2 linked regions of the Ovis aries genome follow. The protein of the gene in region 1 purifies or fractionates together with the protein of each later gene. This does not show direct contact. Links are inferred from orthologs where the notes say so. Each region holds a gene or a part of one and is shown on either strand. Other genes may lie near its edges. The genes, in order: XPC and CETN3.

Region 1 (3,823 bases):
GAACACTGGAGTGGGGTGCCATTGCCTTCTCCAATGCATGAAAGTGAAAAGTGAAAGTGTAGCCGCTCAGTCGTGTCCGACTCTTCGTGACCCCATGGACTGCAGCCTATCAGGCTCCTCCGTCCATGGGATTTTCCAGGCAAGAGTTCTGGAGTGGGATGCCATCGCCTTCTCCACGAGCGCTACCTAGATCTGTTTAAAGATCCCACTTTTTCCACAGACCCCAGAGACGAGCAACAGGAGCAGGTTTCCTTAGTCACACTTCCCTGATGGACCCGGTCAAGACGTTTTCCGCCGTCTCACCTGAAATCTTCCCCTTCGCTGAGGGCTTCATCCTTTACAGCCTGGGGCTCTTCAGATTTCACTGAAACCTTGGCCGCCTTCCTTGTCACTGGACCGTCTGCTGCGCTCCCAGCATCACCGCAGCCTCTCTTCCTCTTTCCTCGGGCAACTTTTGTGGGAGGGCTCTTCTTTCGTGGTTTCTCATCTTTGACGACATCTGGATGACCACACGGAACACGAGAGGAGGGACACAGGAAAAGCGGAGACATTGCTGGTTCGTGGACAGGGTCACAGAAGTCCTCCCTGGTGACCTCTCTCCAGACGCCCATCAACATCCCATGTTTGGTCAAAAACCAGCGTTCAGCCCCTTCCACCTCCAGCTGGTCTGCAGAATACACGCTTCCTTCATCAGTTACTCTGTTCTACCTCCTAAGGCTATAGAGACACCAGCACACGACCCATAAAACCTAAACTGCAAACCTTAAATTTTACCTAATGTCCAGCAAGGAAAACGCATCAATCCATTAACTAACACCTTGCTTGTTACTACCTGCTGAGACTAATTATTTTAGGGATAATCCACCCCTACTAAGTGAAAAGCTTCAAGTTTATAAACATGTCTGAGCGTGAAGGACAAGGAAGCCTGGCATGCTGCAGTCCATGGGGTCGCAAAGGGTCAGACACGACTGAGCAACTGAACAACAATGATTTCCCCTAATCTAAGCTTCTGCTGTCTTTTGAAACCAAACGCTGCTCAAAACACACACTTTATGAAGTCTGTCCAGTCTAACCCAAATGCCACTCATACGAGCTTATGTGTACGCTAAGTCGTTTCAGTCGTGTCCAACTCTGTGCAACCCCATGGACTATAGCTTGCCAGGCTCCTCTGTCCATGGCATTTTCCAAGCAAGAATACTGGAGTGCGTCGCCATGCCCTCCTCCAGGGGAGCTTCCTGAACCAGAAGTTGGGCCTGTATCTCTTATGTCTCCTGCACTGGCAGGCGGGCTCTTTACCACCAGCGCCCCCTGGGAAGCCCCTCAGCAAGCTTCAGGTTGGAATAAGTTAGCAGTAAGTGAAAAACAACTTTATTTTAATAACTAACCATTATTAATAATTAATAAATAAAATAATAAAATTTTGTTAAAAGGAAATATAAAAAACCCATACACTGTTCATTTTAGCTCCACTAGGGTATCTAAAAGCATGGTCTCTTAACACATAACTATATTACATACGTTATACTATATTAATACAACAGGGGAAAATATTTTTCTATTATAAATATAGCCAGGCAAATTATCTTAAATCTGAAATAAATCATCTTTTTTCCTCTGCACAACTCTGCTTCAGGTAATATTGCAAAACAAAAATACTCTAACCTTTTTTGAGGTCCCAGAAGGAGCTGAGGTAGTAACCTAAAGTTTCAAATTAATTAATTCCTTTCATTTATGGTTTGAACTGCTGACACCCTGCATATGTATTTTTAGTCCCCAAGAATACAATTTTGCATGGAAGAGAGAGACTCTTCCTTTTGAGCTAAAAAAAACAACAACAACACCTAAACTTTAATAGATTTCACCTTTTAGCAGCGTTTGTTTCAATGCTGGCTAAAATCACTGACTGGGTTCTGTTTCTTCAGATTTCTTATTTCAAGGCCAAAAGTTTATTTACGACCTGACAATTTGGTAGGGCATACTGAAAACCAGGATTTCTAGATCCTACAATGGTTTTTAGCCCTCTGTTAATAAGATGCTCAATGCTCGACCAGTCTAAACATGCAGGTGGGCAGTTGCTTCAGAAGTCCTGTCTCTTCCTCTCTAAACTTGCTTGGTTGGAAGGCAGAGGTGAGCATTTCTGTGCTTTGCATAGAGAGGTAGAGAAGTTAACAGTGAGAACAAGGGAAGCGAACTGTGACTCTAAAAAACGTTTATAGTATCATTATTCAAAGTATCCAAAATTTTAAAAGTCTGAATGCCCATCCAGTAAATGGACATTGATTAAATCGTTAATTATGGTGCAGCCACACAATGATATATGATGTGGTCATCTCCTAAGACAAAGGAAGAAGACGTGATAAAACGCTGAGAATGCAAAGCTGTCGGCATAGTTTCTACTACACAAAAAGACACAGACTAGAAGGAAACATAGTATTATTTGGTGGTGGTGGTTTCTGGATGGGAGACGTATGGTAACATTTTTCCCCTAAATTCTTTGTGTGTGCCCCAGGGCATCAAAGAGGCTATCATCTAGATATTCCAAGCAAACGGAAGCTAAAATATAGCTCAGACAGCAATAATCGTATCAGGCAAGATAGACCATAAAACAAAGTCTATAGTAATAGACAAAGACATTATATAATGATAAAGGGGTCAATACAAGAAAATGATGACACTGATAAACATATATGCATCTAACACAGGAGCATCGGAATATATGCAGAAAATATTAACAAAAACAAGGGGAGAAGCTGACAGTAATACAATAATTGTAGGCGACTTCAACACCCGAGTTACGTCAATGGACAGATTATTCAGAAAGAAAAATCAATAAGGTAACGGTGACCTTAAATGACACACTGGACCACATGAACTTAATAGATAACTTCAAGACACTGTGTCCAAAACAGCAGAATACACAGTCTTTTCAAGTGCGCATGGAACATTTTCCAGGATCGATCGACCGCATGCCAGCCACAAAACGAGTCCCAACAAATTCGAGACTGAAAAGGTATTAAGTGTCTTTTCCAACGACAGCAGCAGGAAACCAGAAATCAATTATTTTTCAGGGGAAAAACGAAACACAGACACTCGGAGACTAAACAGGACCCTACAAAAAGCAGACAGCCAGTGACGGCTCGCGCCGCCGCAGAGAGAACCAGGAAATACCGCAGGACAGCGAAGATGAAAACCCAACTTTACAAAATCCACAGGGCACAGCGAAAGCAGTTTCAAGAGGGAAGCTTAGAGCAATACAGGCCCACCTCCAGAAACAGGAAAAGTCTCAAAAAACCTGAGCTACCATCTAAAGGAATCAGAAGTATCAGTCATAACAAAGAAATCTTGCCATTCGCAACAACAGGGAGGATATTATGCTTGGTGAAATAGAGAAAGACAAATACCATGTTTCCCCTTATACACAGAATCTAAAAGACAAATGAACAAATTAAAATAAAAACAGACAGAGAACAAACCAGTGGCCACCAGTGGGGAAAGGGGTAGGGGGACAGGCAAGACAGGGGAAGAGGATGAAGAGGCACCAAGTCAGTAAGTTACAGGGATGTAACGTACAGCACGGGGATGTGGTCAATACCGTGGAATAGCTTTATATGGAGTATTAAGTGTGAAAGTGCTAGTCGCTCACTCATGTCCGATTTGTGACCCCGTGGACTGTAGCCTGTCAGGCTTTTCTGTCCATAGAATTCTCCAGGCAAGAATACTAGAGTGGGTGGCCATTGCCTTCTCCAGGGGATCTTCCTGACCCAGGGACTGAACCCAGGTCTCCTGCATTGCGGGCAGACTCTTTACTGTTTGAGCCACCAGG
Region 2 (3,823 bases), on another chromosome or scaffold:
CCTCAGTGGAAATCTCATCATTTACAAATAGAGATCAATGAGGGAGGCTTTGGGGAGTTTAAGATGAACCTGAGATAACGACTAACATTTTAGCAGACAGAACCTGGCAATTAGATTAAAGAACAGCATGATGAAAGGCATAGCATAAAAGGACAGGTTGGAGTATATTCTGTCAAAGTATGCATACTATATAAGTGGTGAGGGTTAGAGTAAAAAGAGGAAGAATACAGTGGGAAATAAAACGAGATGGCTGTTGTAGGACAGATCTCATAAAAGGCTTTGGAATTTATTCCATAGGCACTAAAGAATCATAAGTGTCTGAATATGAAAATGACATCACCAAACTTGCATTTTAGGAAAAGAATGATATTAGGATGAAAACAGAAGTTTAGAGGCATAGAGGAGGCAATTAGGAGGCTACAAGAGACTCTAAGTCAGCGAGAGCAGAGAAAATATCAGCTTCTTATTGGGCAGCACCAGTCAGCACAAAGAACTGTGTACTAGCAGGCATTCAAGGAGATAATGAACGAAGCTATTATATTATAAAATTCCAACAAAGAAATTAGGGCCTGAATTAGGACAGCAGCAGTAAATAAAGAAATAAAACTTCAAAATATTTGAAGGGTAGACTCAAACTTAGACATGCATAAAGGTTGAGGAAGAAAGCATTAAAGGATGAAATTTACTGAGTGGCTGAAATTTGGAGATACTTCACCCTCAAAGAAAAATACTTTCTTGAAGTGTGGAACCTCATAGTATAACCTGTACAGTTGGTTTTAAAGGTCTGCTTCATTCCAAGCCAAGTATGTGTGATACTTATGCAAAAAGCCCATTACAGGATGAACAACATTTACACTAAATAAAGGGACAGTTTGCAACGGGTCTTGAAAATCATTTGGTTTTAAAAAAATTACTCATGTGTACAAGTAGGAATATTTGAAATATATGTTTTACTCAAAACTTACTTTCTCCATCACCATCTTTATCAAATTCTTCTATCATAGCCCGAAGTTCTTCATCACTCATGTTTTCACCCAATTCTCTGGCAACACGTCGCAAATTCCTCAAGCTTATTTTACCAGAATCATCATCATCAAATAGTTTAAATGCCTTTAATATTTCTTCATGTGGATCTCTTTCCAATATCCAGTCTGTCACTATAGTTAAAAAGAGATTAAAAGTAAATCTTCACAGTCACAAAGGCATTCATTTGTAAAATCAACTAATTATTAGATGAGAATTAAAACTGTGAAATTAGTTTGGCAATAAAAATGCCAAACCAAAGTACAAAATCCCTGAGATAAACCTAAAATCAGAAAAGTCAAATTCATATTTTAGAATTTAACCTTCACATTATCAACAATTTATCCTATTATATGGCTTCCCAGGGGGCTCAATGGTAAAGGATCTGCCTGACAACCAGAAGACATGGGTTTAAAGCCTGGGCCAGGAAGATCCCCAGTGAAGGAAATGGCAACCCACTACAGCATTCTTGCCTGGGAAATCTCGTAGACAAAGGAGCCTGGTGCGTTACAGTCCGTGGGGTCGCAAAAGAGTCAACCACAACTTGTGACCAAACAACAATATCCTATTTTAAGAGTAAGCATAATTATATTACACAGAAGCAAATTTTTAAAAACTATATTCATACCATGTTTATTTAAGGTCTACTATTAAGAACTGTGCTAGGTTCCACTGACATCAAGCATACAAGTCTAGGAGTTTGTAACCTATTTGTAGAGATGACATACCAACAAAACAATCAAAACCAACTAAAAATTGTTTGCTGGCTAAACTTAATAGTAATACTGATTGTCCTCCAAATTTAACACAACTTAAAAACAAATTTCCCTAACAAATTTACAAAATTAACTGTCACCATTGATAAAGACACAGTCTCAGAAAGTATATGAAAATTCTGCTGGTATCTTCATAACTTAGAAGAACCCCTTGGTTTCTCAGAAGAAGTTACTAAAAGGATAGAATCTGATTATAGTAAAAATTAAAAAGTCTGGAAAGGAGATCTCTCTAAAGTCAAATCCGTTCTATTCAGCAAGATAGTAACTATCAGACAGCTAAATTAAAATTAAATGTGAGCAATTTCAGGCCTCACTAGTAACAATTATTTAATATACTAAATTTAACAATATATAATAAGAGTAAGCTTAATATTTTCATAAAACCGCAGTCTTTAATCAATAGCCACAATAACAAAACTTTTTAAATCTGTGGTATAAAATTTTTTAAGTTACTAGATAAAATTCTGAAAATATCAAAGTAAAAATCTTTGAAGTAATTCTACATGTTAATCTACCACTACAAGAGGCATTTATGATTTTCATTGTGCCATTAAAAATAATCCCATCCTGTGAGGTTTACAGAATCATTAAAAATTTGCAAAGGCTTATAATCAGAAAACACTGGAATATTTAATGCACTCAAAAGAAAAATACAATTCAAGTCCCCCACAAACTGTTGCTGTGCTGCTGTCCGCATCATATGTGGTTGAATGAGCTTTAGAATAAGCACCTATTCAAGCTAATGTTAAATCATCTACACATATATTCAATAATTTTCTCTTTTTGAGTTTTTCCTCTACAATAATTTTCTTTTATCCATTAATTTTATACAAAAGTCTTCCAAGTAACTAATTGAAGTATATTACTATAAGTATGCAAATCATCAAAGCTCATAAATATTCAGTTAAAAAGGAGTTGGCATATATACAGCCATAACACCAAAATAAAATACCACACTTAACTTTATGGCTCATACTCAACTTATTTTGAATTTAGTCCCAACAAAAAAGCAGGACAAGGAAAAAAAAAAGTGTTAAGAAATTTTCTTCACCAATTAAATAATTTACATGACAGGTGAACCAAAAAAGCAGCTTGCTGAAAATATTAATGTACTTAAAGAAGCAACAGGGTGATCTGGGGAACAGATGGGGTTCCAAGATGTATAAATTCCTATCCCAATGGTGCTTTAATTGTGTTAGTTACTTCAGACTTGTGTGTCTATAGAATCTTTTATCAATACTTTGCCTTAGAATGCAACTTTCCTTTGGAAGTATAAATACCCATCATTCTGGACAGCTAACGCATTTTAACTTTATGATGACTCTCCTCCATGCCTTCATGTTCTATTCTTGCTCTACAAAGTAGAATTATAACATATATTTTTTTCAATGAAAATAAATCAAGAGAAAGGCAGTAAAGGTGGGTTGAATCTATTTCACAAATTTCTGTCCATGTAACTCTATTTTCAAATGACTTAATTATACTATCAGAAATGTACTCACTCAAAACAGTTAGATCTTATACATTGTGAAAATCACTTAAGGGTCCTCCACCCGTGCCCACCAGAGTCTATGAGCATGCAACCAGAGACTGCAAATTCAACACTCCGAGCCCATCCAGATGGCCCCGATCCCAGCTTTCTATGCTTCAAAAACACTAAGAACAATGCCCCTGCATCAGTTTTTACTATAGCCAATCACCTTTCATGCCTAGAACACGGATCATTCCCAAAGCGCCCTTAGCCCAAATAATCACAAAGTCCACATCTATAAGAAGAATGGGGGCCAGTGGGTGAAAGTTCAGGAACTCAAGGAGCACAACGGACACATCACAGGTCCCGACTGGGCTCCCAAGGGTGACCGCACCATCACTTGCAGGGCCCACCGCAATGCCTACGTCTGGAGTCAAAAAGATGGTGTCTGGAAGCTAACCCTGGTGATCCTGAGAATTAACCCTGCAGCCACTTTCATCAAGTGAGAACAGATATGCCATGGGCAGAAGGGCATGACTCATCTCTGTTTGGT

What was found.
Region 2: the proteins of XPC (region 1) and CETN3 purify together in Homo sapiens (affinity purification with mass spectrometry; 4 studies listed by BioGRID and IntAct, counting the BioPlex papers as one, with this or other methods). This does not show direct contact. The link is inferred for Ovis aries from reciprocal best matches to the Homo sapiens genes XPC and CETN3.

Annotation. Positions count from the first base shown.
Region 1 is NC_056072.1:57,967,046-57,970,868, reverse strand, and holds part of XPC (DNA repair protein complementing XP-C cells), read right to left. Parts: exon of another isoform or gene 500-3,823; coding exon 304-499; exon of another isoform or gene 1-303. UniProt on the Homo sapiens protein: Involved in global genome nucleotide excision repair (GG-NER) by acting as damage sensing and DNA-binding factor component of the XPC complex. Has only a low DNA repair activity by itself which is stimulated by RAD23B and RAD23A.
Region 2 is NC_056058.1:87,588,964-87,592,786, forward strand, and holds part of CETN3 (centrin-3), read right to left. Parts: exon of another isoform or gene 3,411-3,823; intron 1,158-3,410; coding exon 966-1,157; intron 1-965. UniProt on the Homo sapiens protein: Plays a fundamental role in microtubule-organizing center structure and function. As a component of the TREX-2 complex, involved in the export of mRNAs to the cytoplasm through the nuclear pores.